2 linked regions of the Rhinolophus ferrumequinum genome follow. The protein of the gene in region 1 interacts with the protein of each later gene in a pairwise test. Links are inferred from orthologs where the notes say so. Each region holds a gene or a part of one and is shown on either strand. Other genes may lie near its edges. The genes, in order: PFDN5 and PFDN2.

Region 1 (15,411 bases):
CATCAGACATCCTCTCAGCCTCCCTGTGGGAGCAGCTCTGTGCCCAAGGTGAAAGCATAGGGTGGATAGCCTTCCTTGGTTGATGTGTGCGGTTTGTCCACTATCAGCTCTTGTCAGCCTTTGTCCCTTCTGCTGTCCAACTGCGTGAATGAGCCTAACTAGAGGCTACCCAGAGTAGGCCCAGGATAGCAGATGATTTTCAGTTCACCCACTGACGCTAATCGATTGTCTAGTGACTGCCTGGCATACTATCCCAACAAGGATTCTGAGACCCCTTGTGCTCTCGGGGAAAGAGTTCTGTGATTGATTGGTTCTGTCTGCCTTAGGTGCAGAAGGAAAAGAATGGCAGCATGCTTTGCATTTGTTATCTTAGTAGTTGAAGGTGGTGGATATTCTGGCCACATCATCTCTCTCCTTGTCCTGCCCTCCCTCGCCTGCACAGGCTGGCAGACACCTGAGATAGCCCTCATCGACTCCCATAAGCTCCTGCGAAGCATCATCCTCCTGCTCATGGGCAGCGATGTGCTCTCGATTCATAAAACAGCCGTGGAGACACCGTTTCTAGACTATGGTGAGTCTGAGGAGAGGAAGGCCCTGTGGGAACAAACAGGCTAGATGGTGGGGCTGGCAGTTTTGTCTCCAGAGGATCCAGGCTACGAGCAATGATGGTCTGGTCTCTCTCCTTTGCTACAGGTGAAAATCTAGTACAAAAATGGCAGGTGCTGACAGAGGTGCTGAGCTGCTCAGAGAAGCTGGTCTCCCGCCTGGGCCGCCTGGGTAGTGTGAGCGAAGCCAAGGCCTTTTGCTTGGAGGCCCTGAAACTTACAACGAAGCTACAGCTACCTCGCCAGTGAGTACAGGGCCCAAGAAGGTACTGATTCTGGAATGTGAGTGCCTGTGCCTTGACCATGGGCTCCCAAATTATTCCACAGGTTAACATGTTATGTTTGGAGGGGTTAGTCGAAGAATGTATTCCATGGCTAAATAAGTGGGAAGTGCTGAGTTAAACAACGTTAGACATTTTTATTTCCTGTAGGACTTCTCATGTCCTCCAATATGTTAATACACATTGTAAATATGTAAAAAGGAGATTTGTTTCCCTAAATCTCTTTGCCCACAGGGCCCTTTTTTTTGAGGAATGCAGTTTGGGAAATCCTTTCCTTATGCACAAGGATGAGTTGGTTTGAGTCAGTAGTATAGAGGGTTTTCTCCAGGGAGCAGTGAAGTTAACTTTAGGAAGTAAAAGCCTTTTGGAGGCTGGAAAAGACTGATGGCTCTGCCTGGGAAAGGGGCAAAAAGACTCTCCAGGAAAACAAATGATTCCACTAATTATTTGTCATCTCCTCTCCCCACAAGGTGTGCCCTGTTCCTGGTGCTGAAGGGGGAGCTGGAGCTGGCACGCAATGACATTGACCTCTGTCAATCGGACCTGCGGCAGGTTCTGTTCTTGCTCGAGTCTTGCACAGGTGAGCAGCCATGCCCCCGTGCCCATGGGCAGTGGTGAGAGTGACACATACACTGTATAGCACATCTTTATATGGCAAGGTTTGGTTCCCTACTTCTGATTCCAGGGCAAAGCTCCCTTTACTTCAATCAGACCATTGATGTCTCTCCTTCAGATAGCCTGTCCAGAACTAACCCTACCTGGTTCTAGTTTTCCGTGCTAATACATTTTGGTTATTTAAATTTAAACAGGATTTAAAGTTCCGTTTCTCAGTCACTCGCCACGTTTCATATGTTCAGTAGCCACGTGTGGCTACTAGTAGCTATTGTATTGGACAACACAAATGTAGTGTCCTCAGGAGGCTTAAGCTCAGAATAAAATACTGCATTTATGGTGCATTTTTTCTTAGCAACCATATCTCTAGAATTTCATTTGACCCACATAAAATCTTGGGAAGTCAAGTGGGAACATAGATTTATTTTTTTTTTTCATTTGTAAAATGAGAAAGTTGAGAAATTCACTGTTTTGGGCCAGAATCACAGGGCTAATCAGGGGCAGAAGCCAGGATTAAGACTTGGTCCTCTTGGTACTGGCCTGCTTTCCTGAGCCATGCATGCATCCTTCTGAGCTGCAGATATGGGGGCTTTGTGGGCTGTGTTGGTCCATTGTTGGAAAGGAAGAAAACATTAGGGATTTTATTGAAAAAAATAAGCCACTAATACTTAGTGTGTTAGTACAGTAATATATATATATGAGTGACTAGTAGGTAAATTACACTTATATTAGGGAGTTGGGCCCTGGGGTAGCTCAGGAAGTTCTTGGTATCATTTCTCCCAGTTTTGTAATTCCTTTTTTTCCCCCGTCCCCCCCCAACTCCGATTCAAGCTGTTGTTCTCAGTCTAGTTGTGGAGGGCGCAGCTCTCTGGCCCATGTGGGAATCGAACCATTGACCTCGGCATTAGGAGCTCAGCACTCTAACTGCCTGAGCCATCTGGCCGCTCCCAGTTTTGTAATTCTTCTTCTGCTCTTTCCTCAGAGTTTTGTGGACTAGCCCAGCACCCAGACTCTGTGAAGAAGGTCCACTTGCAGAAGGGGAAGCAGCAGGCCTGGGTCCCCTGTCCTCCAGAACTCCCAGAAGAGGAGCTCTTCATAAGAGGCCCTGCTCTGGAACTGGTGGCCACTCTGTCCAAGGAGCCTGGTCCCATAGCACCTGCTACTAACTCCTCCCCAATCCTGAAAACAAAGCCCCAGCCCAGCCCTGGCTTCCTGACCCATTTGCCCACCTGTGACTGCTCGCTCTGTGCTAGCCCTGTCCTCTCGGCAGTCTGTCTACGCTGGGTGTTGGTCACAGCACGGGTGAGACTAGCCATGGGTCATCAGGCCCAGAGTCTGGATCTGCTGCAGGTTGTCCTGAAGGGTTGCCCTGCAGCCACTGAGCGCCTCACCCAAGCTCTACAAGATTCCCTGAATCACAAGGCAACCACCTCCCCCATCCCGAGCCTCTTCGATGAGATCTTGGCTCAGGCATATACACAGCTGGCACAGGAGGGGCTGAGCCAGCCATCAAACAAGAGCCTGGAGAAAGTCCTGAAGTCAGGGTTGAAGTTTGTGGCAGCACGGATACCCCACCTGGAGCCCTGGCGAGCCAGCCTGCTCTTGATTCAGGCCCTTGCAAAGCTGGCTGGCCTCAGCTGCTGCACTACGCAGCTTTTTGCAAACTCCTGGGGCTGGCAGCCACCATCAGTAAAGCCCCGCCCAGGCTCAGAGTCCTCTAAGCTTCGGAACCAAAAACCTTCTGGACGAGGGCGCCAGCAAGTGGTCTCTGCTACCCTGCCCCTCCATAATACCTCTCTGAAAGGTCTGGAAGGTGGAGGACCACCCTGTACACCTAAGCCCCCAGGCCGGCTTAGGCAGGCTGGCCCTTGTGTCCCTTTCACCGTGTTTGAGGAAGTCTCCCCTACAAAGAACAAGCCTGAGATTCCCAAGGCCCCTAAAGTACAACAGAGGATCCAGACCCGCCTGAAGGTGAGGTAGGACTGGCTGGGTGGTGCTGGTGTTGGGTGGTCCTGGAGAAGAGTTCCGCAGCGCAGGTGTCTGTGGAGCAGCTTCCCAGGGACTGATGGGACCTTGAGCTCTCCTGTTATCCTGCAGGATCCCTACATCTTCCACAGCAAGACCTGCTTCCAAGTCTACCTTTGTTTCAGACAGAAGGCACTTTCCCTAACTCTACGCTTCCTTTCCCCTTTCATCCCTCCTCATCTTCTGGTCCCTTCTCCTCTCCCTCCTTCAGCACCCAGGAGTTACTGCCCCTGGTTGAGTGTGGCAGTCTGTGTGGGAGGTTCTGAAATTTTCCCCAAAGGCTTCTGTGCTGGTGCCTCCACAGCGCCACCTGCTGTCGGATGATATCACTGAAGGCCCCGCGGCCCTTCTCCCTTCCCGCCCATCGCAGGTAATCTTCAGTGATGACAGTGACTTGGAAGACCCAGTTGAGGCACGGCTGGCAGAGGGCGCCCAGAGACGGGGCGCTGCTCCCCGGGGCCGGGGCCGGGGCCGAGGCCGAGGCCGGGGCCAGGCTCGGAAGGGCCCAAGCTGGAAGACTGATGCAGTGACTGCCCCAGGCGGTACCCCTGGGCACTCGGGCCTCAGTGGCAGGAGCCGGAGGCCCAAGAAGGTGGCGTCTGGGCATCGTGAGGAGCGAAGCCCTGAGATTAGGAGGACCATCCCTGAGGAGGAGCTGACTGACAACCAGATGGAAATGAGCTTTGAGATCCTCAGGGGCTCTGACGGGGAAGAGTTAACGTCAGGTATGAGGGCAGGGGTGGAAGGCAGAAGGTACATATGTTTTCAGGGGGCTGCCCTGGGACCAACGCACAAGACATAACCGGTGCCAAAGACAGTGCAGAAAGTTCTCTTGCTGACTCTGGACTGGATACGGCAGGGAGAACAAGGGATGGCAGAAGGAGGTTGTTCCACAGAAAAGTCATCTTCTCTCCCCAGGTGGGAAGACAGCAGCTCCAGGGCCTGACGCAGCCATAGGAGAATGTGAGGTGTTGAGACGGGATTCCAGCAAAGAGGAGCTGCCCGTCTTGTGCCCAGATAAAGAGCGCGACCAGGGTCTCCGTCCTCGGCTGCAGCGCCCCTCCGCCCCGGTACCCATTGGTGAGGTCTGGTCACCTGGAGAGGGCTGCGCCGCTGGGTCTCTTGATCCCAATGCTTTTCCGGTCTGTCTTGGTTCTGGCTTTAGATCCCCACCTGGATCTGCAGCCTTTGATTCTAGTTTAAATTCTAGTCCTCTGCTACCTATTTGCAAGTCACTCAACCTCTCTGAGCTTCTATTGACTTAACTGTAAAGTGGGGTTTGGGGAGGACAGCAAAGTGATGCATGTAAGGTGCACAGCACCCTACTTGGCACATTGCCCTTCGTAAGTGGTGGCTGCTACTTTCCAAGTGGGAGACGAGATAGGGACCCCTTCTTGGCAAGTTCCTATCAGCTAGAAAATGGGGGATTCATCTATAGCCAAGTATCTTGACCTCTCTCTAGGTGTCTCTACGCTGGATTCCATCTATGACTCACTGAGCGTTGCTTTCCGTGGGGTCAGTCACTGCCCTCCTAGCGGGCTCTATGCTCACCTCTGCCGCTTCCTGGCCTTGTGTCTGGGACAGCAGGATCCCTATGCCACTGCCTTCCTCATCACTGAGTCTGTCTCCATCACCTGTCGCCACCAGCTGCTCACCCACCTCCACAGGCAGCTAAGGTGAGTGCCCACCATTCCTAAGGTTTGTCCTGGGCAGACTGGACAGAGGGTCCAGATTTTGAAGGAGGGAGAACTCACCCCTTCTGTGTTGCCTGCAGCAAGGCCCAGAAGCACCGAGGATCACTCGAAATAGCAGAGCAGCTCCAGGGGCTGAGCCTCCAGCCGAGGCCTGGAGATGTCCCCCTGACCCGCATCCAGCGCCTCTTTTCCTTCAGGACGTCAGGGTCTGGCCATTTCCCCCAGCCCGAGAAGGAGAGTTTCCGGGAGCGCCTGGCTCTGATCCCCAGGGGTATGGTAGCTGGCTTTGGCTGGTTCTCCTGGCCTTTTATTCATCTTCTTACTGAAGAGTTGGGTGAAGGTGTTTAAGGTACTAGTTAGCTCACATAGATTTGTGATCCTTATGAAAAGACATGTCCTACCTTTTCATTGATTAGTCATTTTGTGATTCTCACCAAACAGGCACACCCTAAATCTAGTCTTTTTTTTTTAACCTCAACTTTGAGTTACCAGTAAATTCAATGTCTTTCTCCACGGATAAGTTCAGGTGTCCAGGGTCTCCCTACGCTAACATGAAACACATGATTTGAGTGCTTCCTTCTGTGCAGCACCCTTTGTTCATTTCTGTGAGGGACACAAAGAAGTACAAGACATGGTCTGTGTCCCCAGGGAGCTGTGAGAACACCTTGAAATCCAGTGAGCAGGAAAGGCTTCTTAGAGTTGTCTAGGGCATTCCTTGTAACAGCTGAAATGATTCTGGGTTTGTTCTGTGTGTCAGGGGTGACTGTGTGTGTGTTGGCCTTGGCCACCCTCCAGCCTGGAACAGTGGGTGACACCCTCCTGCTGACCCGGCTGGAAAAAGAGAGTCCCCCGGTCACTGTGCAGATCCCCACTGCCCAGAGCAAGGTAGGTCTCCGGGTCTAGGGAGCAAAGTTGGGCTGGGATAGGCCTCTGGTCAAGCTGCTCATATTTCTGTGGCGGTCGACAGAGAGATGGGGCTCACGTGAACAGGTAGAAATCTCACAATCCCATCTCCCAAAGCTTCCTCTGAGTTCGGCCCTCAAAGAGTTTGATGCCATCCAGAAGGAACAGAAAGAGAACAGCAGCTGTACTGACAAGCGAGAATGGTGGACAGGGCGGCTAGAACTGGACCACAGGATGGAGGTGTGTGCTCCCAGGGTGGGGTGGGGTCATGCCTACCCTAGGAATGACCTGTGCGTGCCTGGGGGCTTCTCTGAAGGGTGCCAGGTCAGTGCTGAGCTACCTCAAGTCCTTTCTGGAAGTGGAGGCCTAAATAAAAAATTCTGTTACTTGGGAAGGACTTTAAACAAAGGCCCAAAACTTGAAGGTTATGGCAATGGAATGTTTAAAGGTACATACAAGAAAAAGGATTTAAGCCCAAGTATCAGCTTCCTGGCTTTACCTTTCATTGCCCACCTGTTCATAGTTGCTAAAACATAGTGATATGTAACAAATCATCTTACCTACACTCCCCCAGGGTCTCAGCGAATGAAAAATGTTTCCACTTCTTGCCTTTTATGGCAAACCTATTTACTGGAAAACCCATTTCCTCATCTCTAAAATGTTGGTGTCTGCGGGGAGAGAAACTCAGCTTCCTCTCTGACTGGAGGTGCGGTTCTTCTTCATTCAGGCCCTCATCACTTCCCTAGAGAAGCATGTGTTGGGCTGCTGGAGGGGGCTGTTGCTGCCATCCAGTGAGGACCCTGGCCCCTCCCAGGAGGCCAACCACCTGCAAGAGTTGCTGCAGGAATGTGGCTGGAAATATCCTGACCCCACTCTGCTGAAAGTGAGTTGAGAAATCAGGGAAGGGGAGGAAGCTAGACAGTTCTTTCCCACCTGCCATTGTGAGTGGCGATGGGGGAGCTATGGCACTCACTGACCACTGTTCCCCTTCAGGTCATGCTAAGTGGTGCCAGCAGACTCACCCCTCAGGACATTCAGGCCCTAGCCTACGGGCTGTGCCCTGCCCGGCCAGAGCGAGCCCAAGAGCTCCTGAGTGAGGCAGTAGGACGTCTACAGGGGCAGAAAGTACCAAGCAATAGGCACCTTGTCTTAGTGCTGGACAAGGTAAGGAGCTAGGAGGCAGAGGGGCAGCGTCTGGTGGGCAGTGGGCACCAACGCATCCCCACGCCCCTTCTCACTTCTGCATATACCCGGCTCGGGACAAACCTCTGAGTGCTTTTTGCCCAGGACCTGCAGAAGCTGCCATGGGAAAGCATGCCCAGCCTCCGGGCACTGCCTGTCACTCGGTTGCCCTCCTTTCGCTTCCTACTCAGCTACGCCATCACCAAAGAGGTGGGATTCAAGGAGTGGGGACTGGGGATGATTGGCAATTGGGGGAAGATAGGAGAGTGTCCTAGGAGTGGATGAGCCGTGGGACGGGGCTTGCAGTTTGTTGGAGCTTGGGCATCTGGCTGGACCAGGATCATAATCACCAGTGTCTCCTCCTCAGTCTGGGGCCTCGTCAGTGCTGAGCCAAGGGGTGGATCCACGCAGTACCTTCTACGTTCTAAACCCTCACAACAACCTTTCAAGCACAGAGGAGCAATTTCGAGCCAATTTTAGCAGGTCAGGAGGATAAGAGTAAGAAAGCGGGTGGGGAAGGGTAGAGACAATGTATAGGGGCAACATGTCCTTTTCTCTAGAATCAGATGTTGCAGCCCACCTTCTCCCGCCCTCTTTCTTAACTACATGACCCTTATTCTTACTACTTTTTCCCTGCAGTGAAGCTGGCTGGAAAGGGGTGATTGGGGAGGTGCCAAGCCCAGAACAGGTGCAGGCGGCCCTGACGGAGCATGACTTATATATGTGAGTGCTTAGGGCCGGGAGGTGGGGGCAGGGGCAGTCCCAGAGGAGGGTATCACTTGGGTTTGCTTTGGGGCTTAAAGCTCCTGGCTGACTCAGGATGCCTTTGGAGACAAGCAGAGGCCTAGTACAGCTAGGTCAGACTCATCTCAGCTTCTTCTGCCTTAGCTATGCAGGGCATGGGGCCGGTGCCCGCTTTCTGGATGGGCAGGCTGTCCTGAGGCTGAGCTGCCGGGCGGTGGCCCTGCTGTTTGGCTGCAGCAGTGCAGCCCTAGCTGTGCATGGAAACCTGGAGGGCGCTGGCATCGTGCTCAAGTATATCATGGCTGGCTGGTGAGTCTCGAGGGGCAAAGCCCATCCTAGGTCCCAACCCCAGGTTCTTTCCAGGTCTGAACCCTAAATCCTTCCCCTTGTGCCCCACCTTCCTCCCATCCTAGTTCCCTGACATGCCTGGGCCCTTGTGCCATCTTCTCTCCTAGAACTATGGGCCAAGGGACTTCCTCATTGGCTCAGTCCTCTACTCACCCACCACCACCATCAATCGTGTTTTCCTATATATTCTGTCTTAGAGCCCTTTGTACTTCTTCCTTCTTTTTTCCCAGTCCCCTGTTTCTAGGTAACCTCTGGGATGTGACCGACCGTGACATCGACCGCTACACAGAGGCACTGCTGCAGAGCTGGCTTGGAGCAGGCCCAGGAGCCCCCCTTCTCTACTATGTCAACCAGGCCCGCCAGGCTCCCCGACTCAAGTATCTTATTGGGGCTGCACCTGTAGCCTATGGCTTGCCTGTCTCCCTGCGGTGACTCCTTGGAGCTGTCCTATTGCTGATAGAAGCCGTATGACTGTTCTACCTCCCATACTTCGATTTAACCCTTAGGATAAATATTTTAAGTGATTTCCCCCAGTGTTTTATATGAAACATTATCTTTTAATTTAACTTTAATATAATAAAGACATATTACTTAAACCTTGTTTTGTGTAGTTCATCTGAAAACATTTGAATATGACGGGTGCCTCTCCACTCTCCTCCCACTATGTGGTATTGTAAACGGAACAGTTTGCAGTTCAAGTCTGAGAGTATTGGGAAGAAGGGCAAAACCACAGGACAAAGCTGGGCCTGGTTTGGCCTCAGATTCTGTGGTCTGCTGCTTATGTGTGACTTTTCGCTCCCCAATTAAATTGTTAATCTCAGAAGCACTGATCGAACACATTCATGTATCCCTCACATCTAGCACATGGTAAAACATTGTATTTACTAATAAACCTCGTGCTGTAGTTGGTTGATAACTTGCCTCCTTATTGTTCTCTTCACCAACAGACTCTCCTGCTTCATCTTCCCAAAGCACCACTGTCCCGATGCTACTTACTCCCCTTGACCCAAGAACTTCACAGGCGTCTTCCTTGCCTGTCAGTCACTGGGTTTATACCGCCCACGTGGAGTAGCAAGCATTGCTCTGCAATATTGTGGTTACAGCCTGAGTACTTTTAAGATTTTTAAGTTCCTTGAAGGCAGGAGTCCTGTTTACTACAACTTGACTACGCCAGGCTTGGGATGTTTTATGAAAAGAACGTGCGGCTATCTTCTCTAATCCAAGGCGAGATTCCATTTCGGGACGGAGGATCATAGAGATGTTTGGCGCAGCGACGCCTCCAGGCACAGCCATCGAGATGCGCAGAGGGACAGCTAGAGCGTCGCTCGCGAAGCCGGCTTCCGCTTTCTGAGTCTTCCTTCCCAATATGGCGCAGTCGGTTAACATCACCGAGCTGAATCTACCGCAGCTGGAAATGCTCAAGAACCAGCTGGACCAGGTGGGGACGGGCCCCAGAGATACTCCTTTCCCGCCTCACATCCCTCCTGTCCACGCGTACGCCCTCTCCCCCCCCATTCCTCCCCACTTTGGAAGGCTTCTCTTCCCCTGCGAAACCCCCACCCCTTCTCTGGCGGTGCCCCCCCCCCCTCCAGTCCCTGCACTGACCCTCTTTCCTGAACTCTGTAGGAAGTGGAATTCTTGTCTACGTCCATTGCCCAGCTCAAGGTGGTACAGACCAAGTATGTGGAAGCCAAGGATTGTCTGAACGTGCTGAACAAGCACAACGAGGGTATGGGGTAGGCGCGCGAAGGCAACCTGGGGGATGTGGTGAGCCGGCTTCTCTCGTCCCGCCCCTTACTCCAGTCTTCCTTATGTGAGACGAGAAAACAATTCATTACGTATTATGTACTGCAGCGTGAGCCCTTTGCATGTTACCTATCCAGAATTGAAATGTACGGGACATTCCTCTGCTCTTGCCGCCCGTTTCTGTTCTTTTCATACTATCTGCGCTGTGCCATATAGGAACTCCCTTCAACCTCTTAAGGTTGGAGCTGCCAACCTTCCCCAGATGTTTGTCTTAATTGTTTTCACAGGGAAAGAATTACTCGTCCCCCTGACGAGTTCTGTATCCTTTCTACAGGAACTCCCTGCCCTTTCCTTTCTCCCTCACCCCTGCTCCGCAAAAAAGGCGTGTAGTTTTGATGACTCCAGAGTGCCCCCATGATTCTGAGAACACTTACTATATGCCCAGCTCTCCTATTTATGTATAACCTGGGGCCGACATGCAGCTAATGCCTTGTGAGCACCAAAGAGCATGTAGAATTGAGGTGTGATTATTTCCCTTTGCTGTTTGAGGATATAATCTAACATGGAGATAAAACTGGTGGTTTACGCTTTTACTAATAACTTAGAAGACATAAGCCATAGAAGGGTAGAATATAGGAACAAGGGAGTTGGCTCTGTTTATTAATCCTCAATTCAGCGTAATTGTGGCTCTTAATTCCTAAACTGTTACTAAGAAACCTGGATTGTGGCTACCTGTTGATTGTTTTACTTGAATGATCAGGTTACCACAGTACAGCACCTGCAGTCTGAGAACTGACAAGCTAAAACAGAAACACGGAAATAGCAATGTAGTAGGGATTGGCTAACTAATGAACATTAAATCCATCAGGAATTAACTAGTTCATGGTTGGGGGTGTTGAGGGGAAGTGAGACCGGCTTTTCACTTTTACTACTCTACTTACAGTAGGAAAATACTGTAGTCTCTCTGGAGGGACTAATGGGAAGAATTGTAAACACTGCTTGGAGGGTGGGGGATGGGATCAGGGCAAGAGAGTAGTTCAGTGTATGTCGTTTTCTCCATAAGGAACCAACTTCTCTGTCTCTCCACATTTGGAGTTTATAGATGTTGTTCTAAGGCCTCCAGATTATTCAGTCCCTGTGCCTTGTAGCTTTTTAGCAAAAGAGGTTCTTAGGAGGCCAAGCAGGCTTGCTGATAAGGAATCATGACTCATGCTGGGCTAGTTTTTCCTTAATCCTTGCTTCTCAGATGTATGTCCCTGGGAAGCTACATGATGTGGAACACGTGCTCATCGATGTGGGAACTGGCTACTATGTAGAGAAGGTGAGTGGAAAGAAGCATGTGGATGCCCCTCTAAGCAGGGAAAGGGAGTTTAGGGGAAGATTTAGAATGCAGCATGGGGTGTCCTGTTAACCCCTCATCCACCTCTGACCTTTTAGACAGCTGAGGATGCTAAGGACTTCTTCAAGAGGAAGATAGACTTTCTCACGAAGCAAATGGAGAAAATCCAGCCAGCTCTGCAGGAGAAGCATGCCATGAAACAGGGTAAGCTTGGTATGGGCACCTCTTGACCCTTTCTGCCTCCATGATAGACAACATGAATTGCCTTGAGAACCACGGGGGTGTCCCCTTTGCTGGATTAAAACCATGTCTTTCTCTTTGGTGTCTTGATGTGTTGTTCTCTAGATTCTGTGCATTACATACCCACTATTTGTAGATACTTGGGTTGGGTGCTTGAGAAATTTAGAGGAAGGAATTCATGCCTGTGTTCTTGCAGAGTTCCTATTTCATGGGGATGGAGTGAGGGAGGAGATCCATGTAAATGAACGCACAAGAAATAAATATAGCCCTAAGTACTAGCAATTGCAACCTGGCTGTACATTAGAATCACTCAAGGAGTTTAAAAAGCCTGGGCCCACTCCAAACCAACTAAGTCAACCTGGGTGGTGGTGGTGGGGTTGAGGGCAGGCAGGGTTTCCAGGGTTCAGTTTTTTTCAAAAAAAAAAAAACACAAAAAACTCCCCAGGTGATTCTTTCCACAGTCAGGATTGAGAACCATTGTCCCAAAGGCAAAAATCTTTCCCACGTTATAATTTTCTGGTTATGTCTGATTCATTTAATACTGCATTTTGTTCATTTTTATATCCCAGTAGTTGTCATATTTACTGACACATTGTAGACTCTAAATTTGTGTGTGTGTACCCCACAGTGGATCACTGTTCAAAGTTTTATTAATTGTAGTTGGTCGTCTACCTGTCCTTAAAACTTCACTGTCATTTTTCTTTAACTCTGGGTTCTCCCCTTTAGCACCTGACCAGGGTCTTTTTTTCCCCACAGCTGTCATGGAGATGATGAGCCAGAAGATTCAGCAGCTCACAGCCCTGGGAGTGACTCAGGCTGCCAAAGCCTGAGAGCTTGTTTCAGAAATGGGGCAGAGGGACCTGGGACTTTTTTGGAGGGAAGAGAAGGGCTTTGGATGTTTAATGCTAATAAATGTTCCACCTGGGCAGAAATGTTGGTCTTTTCTTGCATTAAGCCAGGGACTGGTGAAGAGCTGGGAGGGCAGTGGTGGAGGGGGTGTGCCTGTCCCCAGAGCCTGAGGCAGCGCTTATTTTGGAGGCTCCATTCGGACCCCTGGAGGAGCGGGAGAGAAAGCCTGCGCTGCGTACCCTGCCCGGCCTGCGGGGCCGGTTGCTGTGGGAACGGCCGCTAAGCGGAAGTGGGGCTGTGCGGCCGCTTCCCTTTCCGGGTCGGTGCCCCCGCCTGCGCGCGGGGGAAGCTGCATGGACCGCGGAGTTCTGCGCGGTCTCCTCTCGCTGCTACCTCCGCCACTCCACCAGGTGCGGCCTCGCATGCTGAACCCGGAGTCCGTGCCGCCCTCCAAGCGACCCCGCAGCCGCCTCATGGCTGCGCCCCGAATCGGAACGCACAACGGCACCTTCCACTGCGATGAGGCCCTGGCGTGCGCATTGCTGCGTCTCCTGCCGCAGTACCGGGTACAGCCTGCCAAAAACGCTGGGGCTGCCCGCCTTTCCTAACGGGGTCCTGGGGTAGCTCGGGCGGGCGGCCTGAGCACTCCTACCCTCCCCGGCTCCCGTGGGAACCTCACATTAACCCCCGCTGCTCTTGGCAGCCCCCTCACCTGTGTTCCCCTGCAGGATGCGGAGATTGTACGGACCCGGGACCCCAAAAAACTAGCTGCTTGCGACATCGTGGTGGACGTGGGTGGCGAATACGACCCCAAGAGACACCGATATGACCATCACCAGAGGTGGGTTCCCAGATACCTTTTCTTCACGTCAGGTTTTCTCAGTGCTCCAATGCAGCCGTCCGTGTCAGCAAAGGGACTGCCTCATCCTAGACAGCAAACTCTTGTGTCCCCTGAGGCTGCAGCCCTCCATCCTTCTAGCTCTCCGCCTGCTCTGCGCCCATCCACCTGTCCTTGGACCTCCCTGAACCCTTGCATCTGCCCGGGCCGCCCTTGGCTCCCAGTCAGTCCGTAGGCTCCTCACGGCTCACCTCCTTCCTTGGCTCAGACTTTTCTCCCACCAGCACCGTCGTCAGGCCAATTAATACCCCAGCTGGGACTAATCCATTCATGTGCCTTTGCTGCCCCGGTTCAGACTGCTGCGCCCACGTGATTGTGGTGGTTGGTGGTAGTTGGTGTGTGTGGTCTTCGCTTTATTTACACTCTTCCCTCGGGAAATCTGTCTTTTCCAAGGGTACCCCATTATCCACACTGCCATGCCAATTCTTTTCTCCTCATGTCCCTACCTCATCAAAATCCCTCAGCGAGTCACCCTGCCTCTTACTTTTCCAAGGAAATTTAGTTCCTCCTACATGCATGTCCTGTTTCCCACTCTCAAACATCCTCAGCTCCCTCCTTCCAGTTCAGGAAACACTGTTCCCTTGTTTGCCCCCTTTCCAATCTATTACTTTCTCCTCTTGGACTTCACAACGCAAGTCTCCCACCAGTGTTTCTACTTCTCCTTGCTGGCAGCTTAAAACTCCGCTCAGGCATCTCGCATCTTAAAAACAAAGGAACAAATCAAAAAAAAATTCTCCCTCATGTATACCTCATTGTTTACAGTGGTTATCTCTGAGGAATTATGAAGATAAATTATTTTGTTTGAAGTCTTACGTATTTTCCTCCCTCTTTTGTTTAAGTGTACATATTATTTTCATAAATGATGTTGGGAGAGAACCCTCCAGGTATTTACAACCTAATCTCTCACCCTCACTTCTCAGTCAGTCTTCAAAAGAAGAGCTGACCCTAGCTCCACATCCCTTCAATTCATACCATTCATTCCTTGGTTTATTCATTCAGCTGGTTCTCTCCCAATCTCTCCATTAGACATACTCAAGGAAAGGGCACCAGTGACCTCAAAACCAAACTCAGGTTGCTGGCCGAACATTTCTGGACTATAAAACATAAAATGAACACTGGTGAACCAATGTCCCTACCTAAGATCTGTAACATTCCCGTTACCTTTGCGTCCGCACCTTTCCATGTGCTTCTTCCCTATCCTACCCCCCCGCACGCCTCCCCCAGAAGTAAGCAATATTCTGAATTGTGTGTTCATCATACCCTTGTTGTGTATAGTTTAGCACGTCTGTTGCCAGCAACAATTTATTTGGTTTTGCTTCTGTTTGAACCTTATCTGGGGGAGTTTTTGTTATGAGTCTCTCTATATATACCTTATGAATATTTTATAATTCTTTTTGTATTTACTCAGTTTTTAACAATAAAGATCATTACAACAAAAAAATAAGCTCCCTAGGTGATTCTGATGGACTGGCATTTAGAAATTACAGCTATAATTTCTACTTCCCTAACAACTGTCATACCTTTTTCCTATTCTCTATCCCATTACTATGCAAAGTCCTGCCTTTCTCGCATACCTGGACCACTACAGGTATTCTCCTTGCATCTGTTCACCATGCTGGCTGGCACAATACTTTTTCTAACATGCACTTGCCTGCTTAAAAGTCTTTCAGTGGCTCCCATTACCTGCAGATGAAGTCCAAACTCCAAAATATCGCATACAAGGCCTGCCATGATTTGGCCCCTGCTTACCCTTCCACTTTCTTTTGCTACTCAACCCTCAAACCCAAGCTGCCTTTCTTGCAATTCCATGGAGACCTGTCTCTTAGCCATTGTACATGTTATTCCTTCTACCTGGAATACCTTTTCTCCTTCACCCACTAATTCATCTTTCAGGAATGACCTGCAAGTTCTCCTCCTGAACCCTTCCTCACCCCCTTTCTGTTTA
Region 2 (15,092 bases), on another chromosome or scaffold:
GTGGAGAGACTCTGACCAGAGCTAGAGACACCATCTGCAATGACCTCTACATCTACGATGCCCGTGAGAGACAGCTAATGGTTGAGGACGGGACGGTGGGAAGATGGGAGAACCTGGAACCAGAGAAAGAAAGAGGGTAAAGTGGTGGGGCAAGGAGAACTAGTTGGCAAGTTAAAGGAATACACAGAATACTGAATTTTGAAGAGGCCTGCCAATCAAGTGAGGAGAAAAAAGGGGCAAGCCTTTGGTCTTGGAGCCCCATGGGTGCCAAAACCCACCCTCTGCCTTACCCAACAGGCAAGTCTCCTCCCCTGTGGTTCCACTTTGCCTGTGCAGACCGTGAGCTGAAACGCACAGGCCATCGGACCTGCCTCTGGAATGATCAGCTTTACCTGGTTGGAGGTTTTGGTGAGGATGGCAGGACAGCTAGTCCACAGGCTTGCATCCTGGACCTCTTTATCTAATGAATGGTACCAAGACACACCGCCAAGCTTGTTTTGTCCTAAACTCATAAAGCATTATCACCAGAGTTACCTGCCTCGTGTCAAATGCTTATTAAACTTCAACGTGAAAGTCAACATTGGTCTCTGAATCTTTTGGGTGAGGGCAGTAAATAAGTAGACACATCTTTATTTGCAAGGGAAAGGATCAAATAAGGGACCTCCTCTGATACTGTGAGCCATTAACCTGATGGGATCAAAAGCCACAAATCATAGGCTTTTCCCTGTCCCCATGCAAATTCCAGCCCTAACTGTGGGAGAAAGCATCAGGCTAGAGCTAAGCATTCTGACCAAAACATTTAATTAACAAAAAAAATATTACAATAGCAGAGAAAATAATAATAACAATAAAGACAAATTAGAAGATGTAGGAGTCAGGGTAGAAAAGATGCCACAGCCTCGGTCCTAGGAGACCAACACTCCAGCCGAGCTGGCCTTAGCCCCAGCCCCTTCTGAGCTGTCCTTGGCCGGCTTCTCCTCTTCCCCCATGAGACGAATGTTGTGCTTTTCCCGAAATTCATTTAGTTCTTTTCCCTTTGCCTGAAGCTGCTGTGTCAGTGTCTCAATGATCTTCTGTATCTAGAGGACAAGCGACAGCGATTCCGTAAGAACTCCAGGACTCCCTCCCCCACCGCGTAAGGACTACGGTTGACACCTCTAACTTCACCTTTAACCTGGAAGTAAGAGTAGACCCAGAAGCCAAAAGTTTTCTTTTCTCAAACACAATGGTTCATAAACGTGAGGGCACATAAGAATCACCCAGGCTGCTTATTTTAAAAATGCCACTTCATGGACCCCATATGCAAAGGTTCTGAATCAGGAGAGGGCCTTGGAAGCTGCGTTTTACATCAGTCCCCCAGGTGATCTGGATGCAGGTATCCACGGACTCCACTGTGAGGAACTCTAGTCGAACCCCCTCCCCACCCACCCCCCCCCACACCAGCCAGGTCAGCGACTGGGAAAAAGTGGCACACAGCCAGTGGCCCTCGCGTCCAGGAGCTGGACGCAGAACAGCGTGAGGAGCACGGCTCCTCGGCAACCGCTACAACCTGAGCCCCCCTCCTGCTCACCTGCTCCTTGTTGTTCTCCAAGGCCGGCAGCACCTCCTTCACAGTCCGCTCCACCAGCACACCTCCCACCATGCGGTAGCACCGGCGGGTCTCGCCCACCTCCTTCAGCGTGTCGATCACGAGGCTGCGTGGGGACAAGGCAGGGCCTGAGACCCAGGTCCACTGTACTGCCACCCTCCCTACAAAGTGGCCTCCCAACTGTCCTCTTGTTCACGTCTCCCGGCTCCCTGACCTGTGCTCATTCAACTCCATCTCCAGCTCAGCTGCCTTGGATGCCAGGCCCCGCTGTTCCTGCCGAAGGCGGTTGAAGCCAGCAATTACCTAAGAAGGAGAGAAAGACGAGAAGTGAGAGAGGAGACGGGAAATGGCAGGCTTGGCAAAGCTGCAGTAGCACACAGATGCCTTGGGAAAGGACGAGGACAACCTGGCACGTCTGACTTCAGTCTGCCTGGCTTTCCATTCACCCGACACTCGCAGAGCCCCCCGAGTGGGAGATGCATGCAGGTCCCTCTTGCAGTTTATGGTGGAGGAAGAGCCATTTGTAATGTGGGTAGGTGGACAGCTCCTGGACTTGCAAGGAAAGGGGGGCATCAGGAAAAGCTTTGTAACGAGCAACTCCTGTTTACTCTTACTGGGATCAATGGAAGAGGAGAATTACGATCGGATGCATCTGGAAAAGGATTTTCTAGGGTATCGCTCCACTAATTATCTTTCCAGTTTAGTGCCCTCTTCTCTGACAAAAATACTCCACTCGACCGAAGAAAACTTCTTTGACTTCACTACTCCATCAAATAATGGTTCTCCTCCCTGTCGTCATCAAAGTTTTTAGGACTAGTCTGTACTCACAGCCTCCACTTCCTCACTTCCCATGCACTCCCCACACACTGTAAGATGCATTCTAATTGCTTTATGTGTTTACTAGTTATAAACTATTAGTACTTACTAAATTGTCCTCTCAAAGATCGTGAATGGCCTCCTACATAATTGCATAATCCAACGACCTTTTCTCAATCTTCAATCTGCTGCTTGAAACCTTTTCCTTTAAGTAGCAACATAGTATGATGGAAAGACTCCAAATGTTTTAATCTGACCTGGGTTCAAATTCTAGTTTGGCTATTTACTTGCTATGTGACCGAGTTACTTAACTTCTTTTGGTTTACTCACTTACAAAAACGGAGCTAATACACCACAGGGCAGAGTCTCTCAACATCAGAACTACTGATATTTTGGGCGGGATAATTCTTTGTTCTGGGGGGCTGTCCATTGCACTGCAGGACGTTTAGCAATGTGCCACTAAAAGCCAGTAGCAACTCCTACTTGTGACAACCCAGGCCCTCTCCAGGTCAAGTGTCTCCTCGGCGCAAAAATCACAGCAGGCTGAGAGCCACTGCCACAGGCAACAGTGAGAGCTACACTGAAGTGACAGTCAAGTGTCTGACAGAACGTAGGCTCTCAGCTCTTAGTTTCCAGGACCCTTCGTTCTCTGGTTCTCCTACCTCTCCCAACACTCACTCGTTCTCTGTTCTGTAAGTTCTTCCTCTCACCCCTACAAGGGAGACAGGGTCTAAGACTCTGTTCCAAGTACCCCTCCCTTTATTACCTATATGATTTCAGTTGGCATTCTTAGCTACTTCTATGATTTCAACAATCGCCCTCATTCTAATTGACAACCAAGCTAGACCTTCTCAGAAATTCTAGACCCACATTCCCAAGTTAGAGGAAGGAGCCTTGGGTCAGACAAAATGGCTCAAGTCTGACCATGAGCAAGTTATTTCTTTTTTGAATCTAAGTTTTTTCTCTAGAAAAACAGAAACATCATCTGTCTCATAGGATGTTGTGGGGAGTAACTGATTACATCAGGGATTTAGGACAATAGCCAGCATCTGACAGGTTGTCATTAAACAGTGCTGCTATTATCACAGAACCTCTCCACCTCAATGTCTTAGGAACACCTCAGACTCAGGTCGTTTAAAGCTGAGCTGATCACCTTTCACCCTGTTTTAAACTGTTCCTCTCCTTGTCTCCCCTATTTTTGCTAACGACAGCACTCTAGCCCTCCAGGTAGGAAACCCCGGTTCCATCTTTGAACACATCCGTATCTCATCAACTGCCAAATTTATTGCACCCACCTCAGCAGTTTTTCTTCGGCTCAACGACATCACCCTAATTCAAGCCTTTATTACCTCTTGTCTGAACTAGTACAAGTCTTTTAAATTATCTCCCTATTTTTGGACTCTCCAAATCCATCCTACACACTGCTGCTGGTTTCATTTTCCTAACACTTAGATGACATAGAAAAATGTTCATGATGTATTATTAAGCTTAAAGAGCAGATTACAAAACAGTATATATTATATAATACAACTTTTATAGAACAGTATATATTGTAGAATGACAATGTTATAAAATATGTAAAATACACACGTCCTCCCTTTTTATCCACACACACACGCGCACACACAAACACACACACACACACACAAGGAGGGGAAATCTCTCAGAGAATATGCTCCTAGACAGTAAGAATGGTTCTCTCTCGATTGCAAGGTCATGGTAATTTATTTCTTACTTTGTACTTTTCCCTGTGTATTCTACAATCTTCTCAATGAACGTGTATTATTTTATGTAATAGGAAAAAAACTCAATAGTGGAACACATACCCTTCTATCACTCCCTCCCTGCTTCCATCAACAACTCCAGAATTCTTTGTCGTGCAAACATCCAACTTACTTGGAAGATCACATCTTTCTGACTTATACCTCATGACTTCATTAAAACAACCGGTCACTGCCCTTCGCATCAATCTATGCTCTGTGTTCTCCCCTTCTTCCTGTTTCCACTACCCCTGTTCAAAACTATCCACTCCTTCAGGCTCAGTTCACGTTCTTCTGGTCTGATCATTGTATAAGTGAAAAAAGTAGGTCTGTCTGATTCTCAAGTCCCTCAATTAAAAGCCCTGCTCTTCCAGTTACTGACTCTGGGTGAGTGAACTAAAGCCTCTGAAGCTCAACTGTCCTTATCTATAAGGGAAGACAATACAGCCTACTTCAATGGCAGTAATTAAGTAACAGAAGAGAAAAACCAGTAAAGTGCCTCGCACAATCAGTTACTTGCTTCCATCTTGTTTATAAGTGACATATGTGGCTCCTATTTGCAGCAATGATAAATCTTATGCTTTTTACCCAGCGTTCTCTCTGGAACACAAACAAAAGCCAGAGTGTTAAGCAAGAACAGTCTCAGAACTCAATGATCACACTCCTCAGTGTCTTCTGAGGGCTTCTTTCTCCACCACCCTTACATGTTGGTTCCACCCCATTCTGCTTCTTTTTTCACTGTCTGTACAAACCCTAGATGATTTCATCCACAACCGTGGCTCTGTCTACTATCCAGAAAGCCACAATTCTCTACCTTAGAGCTCCAAGTCAGATTTCTTTCTGGAAGTCAAGATTCATAAGTCGAACCACTTAATAAATGTCTCTACCTGGATGTCCCACAAGAAACCCAAACTCAAATCCTACAATAAACTTATTCCCTCCCCCCAAACTTGTCCATCTTCCTATACTCCCTGTGGCACCACCATTCATCAAAGACAAAAGCCTGAGAAACATCCTAGATTCTCTTTTCACCCTATTTTCTGCACATTCAAGTCTTGCAGACCATTTCGAACTTTAAGTTCACCTGCATCCCAAACATGTCAGGCAGTTTCATATCTTAGTGCTTTTAAACACATTGTTCCCTCTACCTAGAAAATCCTCCACTTCCTCTTTGCTTGACTCACTTCTCTCATCCTTTAGAATGGAGCTGAAGGATTATCTCTTCTAGAAAACAAAATAATTAGCACTTATTAAGCCCATACTATATTCCAGTCACGGTGCAAAACACTGTGCATGCATTGTCTTGCTTAATAACCAGTATTCAATGAAGAGGTAGGTACCATTAGGTTTTCTACAGGGCAGGAAAGGCCGAAGAAGTAACTCTTGGGAGGTCATCCTCTATGGTAGAAATGGTCAAACACATGTCTGTCCGACCCCGGTGCATTTCTTATCTTAGTCTTAGCCACCCTGCTATACCACAGCTTCCCTTTCTGCCACCACCCCCAATCCCATAACCTCCTGCTTAGTTGGGGTCCCTCCTCTAGCTGCCCTAAATAAGGGCCTGTGTGGAACACTGCAAACCTTATTGTTTGGTTTGTCTTTTCTCAAAGGAGTCAAGCTACCTTGAAAACAAGGTCTATTTCATTCGTCTGTTTCCCTGGACCCAGCAGAGTATCTGGCACATAGCAGACCCTCAAAAAGTATCAGGTTCCCTCTCCCTTCCCTTTTCCCCAACTAAATCTGAGGCTATGTCTTCCTCCCTCCTCAAAATCCCACAGCACTTTATAGCTCTCTTCGGACACTTACCGTCTGCCTTATATTAACATTTCGTGTTATCTTACGAGTATTTTCCCCAAGCAGACTAGAACTCTTCGATGGCAAGGGACAGTTTGAAAAAAGACGTCTTTACGCTGATACATTTGCCTGAGTAATTGTTCAACGAATAACTACTGAAGGAATCTGTAATTAAAAGAGCTACTGTTTAGCTATGTTTTCCTTTCTCTTGTGTAGATTTCTTCTCATCTCTATTAAACAGTAGCCCCACTATTAGCAAAACATGCTTCCCAAACCACAAAAGGCGTTCTGATTAATTTATAAAACGCTGCCCGATGCTGGGCACTAGGGGGAATGCAAACTCGGATTAGAAGAGGGTTTCTGGCCTCTAAAGAAATTCAACCTAATAATGACTCCCGACTCAAAACAGTATGAGTGTTCGGCTATGTGCGTCACGTGGCTCTGCAGTGACTGCAACTGTCAACTTGGTTTCAGGGTCGGGTAACACTACACAACCAGCCCGAGGACGAACCCCCTGGGATTCGCTACGAGCGGCCCGGCCCAGCTACATCCCGTCTGAGGGTGCGGAAAAGAGGGGGACGTGACGACCCACGTCCCGCCAGACCTGTGCATCTTCCCAGGCCCTGCATCTGACGGCTCTCGCTTCCAGGGGGCTCACCCAACACCCCACGGCGGCGCGGCTTTCAGCTTCCAACGCGCCCACTCTCCCGCAGGGCTCGGCTGCCTTCTCCCACGACCCTCCCCTCTGTGAGCGGCACCGAGCGCGGGACTGGAGTGAGGCCCGCAGCAGCCACAGGCTGCCCTCCTCTCGCGTCGCCTCCGGGCCCTGCCCGGCTGCCCTCCTCCGCCTTCTCCGCTCCTCACCTGCTCCGCCGACACCGCCCCCTTCCCCGCGCCGCTCCCGCTGCTCTTGCCCGCGCGACCGCTGCTCTCCGCCATCTTCGCCGCCCGAGGGGCTTCCGGCGCGCAGAGCAGACCCGTGCGTCACTTCCGCCCGCGGGGTTTCCGCCCGCTCGCCCCTGCGCCGCCGCCTCCAGGCCGCTCTCGGGTTAGGACCCTGCGAGTGGTTCTGGCCGTGTCTTCCTGGAGGGCCTCCTCCGCGTCCCGCCGGCCGCGGTGAATGCCGCCCGCGGTGCTCTGACCTGTGCAGCCGAAATGCCCGCGCTGCGAGGGCAGGGAGGACGGGTTAACGGGAGAGTGGGGGCGCGGGCTGGGGCCCGCGTGCCAGCGCCCCCGTCCACCGCGGGTGCTGGGAACCAGGGAGGGTGAACCTGCCGTCAGACTGGGGTGTGCGGGAGGTGCACTGTCAAAGGAGAGGCGGGGAGCACCAAGGAAGTCTCTGGGAGAGGCCTTGGACTGCTGAGACGTCGGGCAGAGGACGAGGGCTTCCGTTTAACGCGAGATCGCGAAGTCGAGGTTTCGTCCTTCTTCCCATCTTGTGATCTCTTCCCGTGGCCCATAATTACCTGTAACAAAGAGCGTCTTCAAGACTTGGGCGCGGAGGGGGGTGTTGACAGGCAGGGCCCTGATTCAGCGGCACAGTATGAAGAGAGAAGTCAGAGAAGCCTAGAAATTCACGGCTTGAGGGAGGGGTAGGTGTCCTTATTTCTCACTCTCCTCAGGCAGGGCTTCATCGTAAGGCCTCATCAGCTCCTGTCCCTTCTGTGCCCTGGACTCCGGATACCTCGACTCTCAGTACTCTGTGCTCAGCCCAGGTAACGTGTTTGTCGTATCTTCAGTGCCTGGCACGTAGTAGGTGCTCAAATGTCTGTTGGATGAATGGATGGCGGGAGACAGTGGGGTACGAGCCATCCACAGAACATTTGATCGGTGGGCCATTGTTCCTTGTACAGCAGCGTCAAAGGGGTGTCCAGCTTTCTTGCCTCCCCATTTGAGCCCCTTGCCGTTCAACTTGGGTTTCCCCATGCTGGGAAATCTGAGTCCTGCCTGCGCTCTCCGCAGGGCCAGAGCCATGGCTCACTCCCCATCCTCCTCCTCCTCCTCCTCCTCCTCCTCCTCCGGGGCACTACCCCTGGTGGCTGTGTGCCAGGTAACGTCCACACCAGACAAGCAGCACAACTTTAAAGCGTGTGCTGAGCTCGTTCGAGAGGCCGCCCGACTGGGCGCTTGCCTGGCTTTCCTGCCTGAGGCATTTGACTTCATTGCACGCGACCCTGCAGAGACTCTGTACCTGTCTGAGCCACTGGGTGGGAGCCTTTTGGGAGAATATACGCAGCTGGCCAGGTACCAGGGAAAGGGGGAGGGAGGGAGTTTCTTTGTTGGTTAATGTCTCTGGATTGCCAGATATGAGAAGTGTCAGTGTCCCCTTCCCCCAGGGAATGTGGACTCTGGCTGTCCTTGGGTGGCTTTCACGAGCGTGGCCAAGACTGGGAGCAGACTCAGAAAATCTACAACTGTCATGTGCTTCTGGACAGCGAGGGTGAGATGTCATAACTCTAGTCTGCCTCTTCCCAGGCTTTTCTAAACAATTCTCCAGAATTCTCAACAGGAGTATCCGTACTTCTGTTCCTGGCCTATGAACTATCACCTTGGGATGAGAGGAACTAAAAGCTGGGCTTCTAGAGAACCAGCCCCAGGTTTCCTCCTCTCTTTTACTCCAGGGTCGGTAGTGGCCACTTACAGGAAGACGCATCTGTGTGACGTAGAGATTCCGGGGCAGGGGCCTATGCATGAAAGCAGCTCTACCATGCCTGGGCCCAGTCTCAAGTCCCCCGTCAGCACACCAGCAGGCAAGGTGGGACTGGCATATAGTAGGACGAGAGGGAGGGGAACAGGGACACTGGCATGTAGTAGAGGAGCAGCAGCCCTAAGGAGTAGGGTAGCAGTGTTGTGACAGACGGGATGGGGGCTAACCAAGCAGGCTGGTTTTCCTTCCAGATTGGTCTTGCTATCTGCTATGACATGCGGTTCCCTGAACTGTCTCTGGCATTGGCTCAGGCTGGAGCAGAAATACTTACCTACCCCTCGGCTTTTGGATCCGTAACAGGCCCAGCCCACTGGGAGGTAAGAGGACACCTCTTCAAAACACACCTTCTCTCAACCTGTCTTCCCTCGGCCCTGCCAGTTGACAGACTTTCTCTCCCTTCCCAACTAGTGAGAAAATTCATTTTCCAGATTGTTGCCTCTCATATGTTAAAGAACAGTTAACATCGTAAATCTTTCCTAGGCAGTTACCAGAATGGTCACAGTGGGTAGACTGGCCTGCAGTGTCCATTGCCTGTCAGTTCCCCACTAGCTGCTACGTGTGTGCGTCAGTGAAACACATCCCCACCCCCAGGTGTTACTGCGGGCCCGTGCCATTGAAGCTCAGTGCTACGTAGTGGCAGCAGCACAGTGTGGACGCCACCATGAGAAGAGAGCAAGTTACGGGCACAGCATGGTGGTGGACCCCTGGGGAACCGTGGTGGCCCGCTGCTCTGAGGGACCAGGCCTCTGCCTGGCCCGAATCGACCTCCGTTATCTACGCGAGTTGCGCCAACACCTGCCTGTGTTCCAGCACCGCAGGCCTGATCTCTACGGCAGTCTGGGTGGCCCACTGTCTTGAGACTTCTCACTTTGGGGCGCTGAGACCCCCATTGTGAGCCGGGGTTGCTGTAACTTATGGGCAGGACCCAGGCGCAGCTCCCCTCACTTGGAGGCTCAGCTTCTTGGCAAAGAAGAAACTCACCTGAGCTCAGATTTCAGTTTCAGAAAGGTGGAATTTTATATAGTCACTGTTTATTTCAAGAGAACTGAAATTATGCTGAGGGCTGAGCAGCACTGGCATTGAAAAAAAATATAATAATCATAAAGTCTGTGTGTGGACATCTCCTTCGGGAGCTGAAATGGGAGGTGGTGCTGGACCAGCAGACTAGGAGCCATCCAGGCCTCCTGGCTCACGCCACAGGCCTCCCTACCTACATAAAAGTGCGACACTCAGTGCATGGCCTGGCCCCATGCTCCCAAGCCCAGGAGTGGGAGTGGGGGCGGGGGTGGACAAAAAAGGGAGCTGATACTAAATTCCTTCACTTTCACCTACTGTGCCCTGTGCCCAAGCCAGAAGGATGCAAAGGGGAAAAGGGCTGCAGGGTCCATCATTTATTTTCACTTGAACATGGAAGGAAGGCTCACACTCCCCCTTCCCCTTTTCAGGGGGAGTCTATTTTCATCAGCAGCCTCGCCCCGCCCACCCGTGCATGTGTGCACAGACACACCGCAGTCAGTGGGGAGGGGCGACCAGACTGACCTATTCCTCTTACCTACTCTCCCCTGAGGGTTTAACAAAGGGGACAAAGGAGGAGCCACACCAGGCAGAGGTCTCGGCCATGGTGTGGAGGGAATGAGGCAGAGGAGCAGCACCAGAGGCCAGGAGACAGTGGGAAGGGCCACAGCTTGTTTTTAAAAAATTCTGTAATTTGGGAGAGGGTGGTGATTAATTTCCAAAACCCACTTCCGAGTCCCACCTTCCACACAGCTCCCTTACTCACAGCCCTTTGGTTTTTCAGACAGGATTTAAGAGCCCTCATGAAGCCAGTAGCACTGCTGACCCCCACGCACGCACGCAGACGCAGTGTTCACTTCAGTCCCTTAACGGAGACTGCGCTACAGCCTTTGCTTGTCCCTGCACATCTGTCTTCTGGCTCAGTGGCAAGGTGGCTGTAGACACATGGGGTAAGTGGGAAGGGGGACAAACAGGAAGCCCAGGCACATGGCTGCAGGGAGGGGTGGGGACACCGCTTCCATAGTTCTTTGTCTTTTCCTTAAAAAAAAAAAAAAAAAAAAAGGCAGGGCTGTGACTGGTTGGCAGGGTAAGAACAAACCCCAGAACAGAACAGTGTGCGCTCCAGACGTGAGTGGCGGGGCAGCCCCAAGGAGGTCAGGGCAAGGCCTGGAGCATCAAGTTCGTCAGGAGCTTCTGTCGACCCAACTCATAGTCCTCCTCGTCCACGTTCACCAGCAGCTTGATAGCTTCGTGGCCCACGGCCTGCTTCAGGGAGTCTGTGATGAAGACACCTTTGAGCGCCTCCAGTAACGAGCCGTTGATGTAGTCGCGCCAGAATGCGTCGAGGTAGGTGAGCTCGGAGAACTTGATGTCGCAGATGATGGAGCCCAGGTCCCGGGACTTGAGGATGGTGTTGGCCTGGTTGAAGCGCTCAAACTGGCGCTCGAGCGGGTCCTGCCTGTTTGAGAAGACGTTGCCTTGCAGCGCGGTCTCGTGCTGGCAGTACTCCGCCCGGACCCGCAGTCTGATGTCTGGGGAGGAAGACGTGCACAAGAGGCTGCGGTCAGGGGTGGCTGTGCGAGAAAGGCTGGCAGAACAGGGTGGGCAACACATGACACTCCCTACCTCGCCCCTAGGACTCGTTCCTTCCCAGGGCCTGAGAGACCCTGGCCCTAACGCAGGAGGTTGGATCAAGTGGGCCAGGCCAAGGCCAGATTCCCCATCATTCACAAGCGGCCCCTTCTTCTAACAGGCCTTTTCCTAGTCACCTCACTACCTTGTCATGACCTGGCACCGTACAATGTGGATGTCACAATGGCACCACTTTGATTTAGTATCAACTAAAAAGAGCTGAAATGCACCCTGCCACAGAGGGGGAGGAGCCCGAGACACCCCAGCCTCGCTGTGCAGCCACCACGCGAGCCCAAATGCCCAGGGTCCGCAGTCCTCGTGCCCTCTGCAGCCCCCACTTCCTCACCACATGTCTGCTTTTCCTTGGGATCTGCTGTCACTGACTTCCGGCGTTTTCGCTGGCTCCCGAGTGTGGCTCTCCCTCGAGCTGGCCTCTTGCTACACATCTGAGGGCCCGGAGTGGGGCAGCACACCACAGGATAGTGGGGAGGCACTGACCAAAGGGTTAGAGGGGAGAGGACAAAGTCAAACACCTGCCACGCAACGAGGGGGGAATCACACTGAGCACGGAACACAGTAGCCACGATGTGACCCCCAGGTCGTGGACACCTGGGGACAAAGGGCCAAGGTGACGCAACAGTGCCTCACCTGGCTTATAGGGCTACGTGAGGGGACAGTGTCCTTTCACTTAAGCCGGCAGAACTGGGGCTAGGATGGGATCACAGCAATGAGGGGACTTCATATCCTCTCACCTGTTTTAGGGGGTTGGGTGGGCCTCGGTTCTGGGTCGCTGAGGGCTCTGGGGGTCACATAGCGAATCGATGTCTCCTCCAGATACTTGTCCACGAGGTCGGGGCACACTGTGGGGGAGGGGTCATTCAGGAAGACACCCCACTTCTGGTGCAGCCCTCCCGCGGGGCCTCCCCTGCCCCTAAGCCCCCAGCCCCGGGCGCCCTCACCAGCCCGCCTCCGCTTGAGCGTGACGTAGGGCAGCAGGTCATGGCGAGTGATGACGCGCAGCAGCTGTAGCACCTGGCGGAAGTTACTCTCATCGCAACGGCCCTGGCGCTCCAGTGCCAGCAGGAAGTCACGTCCGTTCCGGATGAGGCCCCGCTCGTGGTCGTCGATGACATCAACGAACAGGAAGGAGAGCACGCGCACGTCTCTGTGTGTCAGATGGGTGCCCACGACGTCGAACATGCGGTGCAGGCTGTAGAGCCCGTGCTCCAGCGCGCCACGCTCCTCCGGCCACACCTGGCTCGCACGCCGCTTCAGGCCCGCCATGCTGGGCTCAGGGGCGCAGCGCCTCCCAGGGGTCCCGCTCTGCCGCTGGGGCCCCCGCTACACTGCAGGGCAGGGAAAAACCATTGTGGAGAAACAGTGACTTCTCCTAAGGGAGACTCAGGGGCAGTTTCAGTGCTGCGTTTCCAGCAGGAGTTGCTCATAGGTGTTACCATGATTGGCCCTACTGCCACCAAAATACTGCTTTTGGTTCCTTGTTCCCTCCCCACCTCCAGTTCACCTCTTAAATGTAGGCAAAATTGAGGAGAAGAAGAGAATTCACTCCAACTCCATTGTGGAAGCAGTAACAGATGAACTTAGGGACGAACGGCAGGGAAACTGAAAATCTTTAGGGCGAGAACGGTTCGATTCTGTCTGCATCATTAAGCTGTTAGCTGTGTCACCTTAAACAAGTCACTTAACTTCAAAGTCTCAATGCCCCTGTCTACAAAACACGGATTGAAGAAACCACTCCTCATTCTCTTTAAGAATCCACTTAGAAAAGACATGTAAACCACTTTGTAAACCTTATGTACATCGTCATGAAAGAGATTTCAGAGAGAAGCATCCCGGACCTCTGCAGCCCAGACTTGTCCCTCCAGAACCTATCCTTAGGTTTCCTACCAGCCAACCAAGTCCAGGAGGTCAATCAGTACTCACCCAAAACCGTGGTGGGCTCACACCCACACACCTGCCATGCCCGTGCTGAGTGGCAGGAGGTGCCACTTGGACATGTTACCTCCTGCCTTTCCTCATGGCTGTCATTTACCAGTCACAGCCCTACGCTCCTATCAGCGGGCATTTGATTCAGAAAGCCCCTCCCTCATCCTGTGAATGACCCAGCCCAGGACCCATCCTCAGGTCCAACAACGTTCACGTCCGCTCCAGTCAATCATACTCACTGCCCCCCAAGAGCACACGCCAGTACTGCTCCACTCTGAGCACAACCTCCAGCCACCCAATCACCTATAAATCCCTGTTGACGCTGCTTCTGAGTATTTCCCAAATCGGCCTCACCTTGCCACTGCCACCGCCCTGGCTCAGGTCCCAGGGAGCTCTCACCAGGGCTTCTGCAGCGGCCGCCTTAAGGGCACTTTCCCTCCAGCCTGTATCGCCCAAACCCCTCCCCACACCCAGCTAAACTGCTATCTACAGTGCATGCCTGACCATCACTTTTCTGCTAAAGACCTGTCTACAGCCCCTCCTGACCTGTAACACTCCCAGCTCCTTACACAACACACCAAACCTGCCCACCTTTCCAATTTCTACCCACCTCATTCTCTAAGGTGACTGTTTACAGTGCACATACATCACTCCATTCATTCTGTCCCTTTAGGCCACTCCCTTTGCCTGAATGCCCCCATCCCCACCGTCTTTCAGATGGGCAGCACGTACTGCCCCTGTGAGAGTCAGCTCAGATGCCACCTTCGAGTTCCTTCTCTACACCACGTGGCTAAGTAGCCCTCCTCTGTGCTCCCATGGACAGTCCTGTTTCCTTGAAGCCATTTATCAACGTGTACAAAAATTATTTGTGCGTTGATTGTCCCATTAGATCTTAAGCAACTCGTTAGAGGGACTAAACTACATCTGCCTTTAGATTCCCAGTGCCTAGCAGTGGCCTAGCCTCGCATACACTGACCTCCATGTCAGAGAGGTCATCACAGCAATACCAATGAGGAGACAAACTCACGGGAGTCCAAGAGGAAGAGGACCTCATTAAAACCAGACACACGCAACTCAGAGACCATGCTGTGCTCTGGCTGTGGCCTCCCCACACTGCAGGGCTGCCCTGCTACCGCACCCTACTCAAGAACAAGGGGCTGTCTGTCCCTTTCTTATACCGAGCAACTGGGTCTGGGTTAACGAGAATAAAATGAGCTACTTCAGAAGAGCCAAGCTGGCGGGAGCAGAGGGGTGGGGTGTCTCAGGAAACTGAGGAGCAAGTAGGACCTGGTCCCCTCTTCCTCAGTAACCGTAAAATGGAAGCATGGAGACTCACATCCTTAAGAGAAGGGGCGGCCCACCCTGGAATCACTTAGTCCCATACCATGGGTTCTACTACGTGGATCAGAAATACAGCCCACTTCTAGTTATGACAGGCCAGATGTCCCCACCCCCCTGAAGCATGGGGAACAGCTGGGAAAAGAGCTATTCAGCTACACACTGGATTTCCTCACCTGGTCCTCTCACTTCACACCACAGCCCCTGGGTATAAAGGGAGGGGCTGAAGGAGAACAACTTCCTGCTCAGGATAGGCAGCCTGGGGACCCGAGCCCCTCACAGCCGGAGCATCTCCCTGTTCCCCATCCCACCTGCTCCCTTTGGCCGGCTGCTGATTATAAGGATCCCCGAAAAAGCACATGGGCTCCAGGACTCCCTAATTCGAAATGCCCTGCCTATAAGCCCCAGGAAATGAAGAAATATTGTCCCCACATTAACTGGCCACTGGAAAACGAGGCAAACTACAGGAAAACACTATAGTCCTAATTATTTGTCAATG

The links.
Region 2: the proteins of PFDN5 (region 1) and PFDN2 interact in binary tests that used the Homo sapiens proteins (3 or more experiments, as listed by UniProt). The link is inferred for Rhinolophus ferrumequinum from reciprocal best matches to the Homo sapiens genes PFDN5 and PFDN2.

Annotation. Positions count from the first base shown.
Region 1 is NC_046293.1:53,181,450-53,196,860, forward strand, and holds PFDN5 (prefoldin subunit 5), read left to right. Parts: upstream 1-9,677; 5' UTR 9,678-9,760; coding exon 9,761-9,832; intron 9,833-10,020; coding exon 10,021-10,123; intron 10,124-10,427; coding exon 10,428-10,459; intron 10,460-11,386; coding exon 11,387-11,461; intron 11,462-11,577; coding exon 11,578-11,683; intron 11,684-12,475; coding exon 12,476-12,549; 3' UTR 12,550-12,651; downstream 12,652-15,411. Other genes in the region: ESPL1 (separin), read left to right, coding at 1-48, 443-571, 694-850, 1,357-1,466, 2,481-3,469, 3,894-4,248, 4,442-4,603, 4,986-5,199 and 10 more; MYG1 exonuclease, read left to right, coding at 12,922-13,134, 13,297-13,409. UniProt on the Homo sapiens protein: Binds specifically to cytosolic chaperonin (c-CPN) and transfers target proteins to it. Binds to nascent polypeptide chain and promotes folding in an environment in which there are many competing pathways for nonnative proteins.
Region 2 is NC_046305.1:2,292,303-2,307,394, forward strand, and holds PFDN2 (prefoldin subunit 2), read right to left. Parts: upstream 6,964-15,092; 5' UTR 6,898-6,963; coding exon 6,823-6,897; intron 1,892-6,822; coding exon 1,803-1,891; intron 1,695-1,802; coding exon 1,571-1,694; intron 1,080-1,570; coding exon 906-1,079; 3' UTR 779-905; downstream 1-778. Other genes in the region: KLHDC9 (kelch domain-containing protein 9), read left to right, coding at 1-63, 298-464; NIT1 (deaminated glutathione amidase), read left to right, coding at 7,742-8,202, 8,295-8,398, 8,580-8,713, 8,857-8,982, 9,257-9,523; DEDD (death effector domain-containing protein), read right to left, coding at 10,835-11,211, 11,658-11,804, 12,064-12,171, 12,271-12,595. UniProt on the Homo sapiens protein: Binds specifically to cytosolic chaperonin (c-CPN) and transfers target proteins to it. Binds to nascent polypeptide chain and promotes folding in an environment in which there are many competing pathways for nonnative proteins.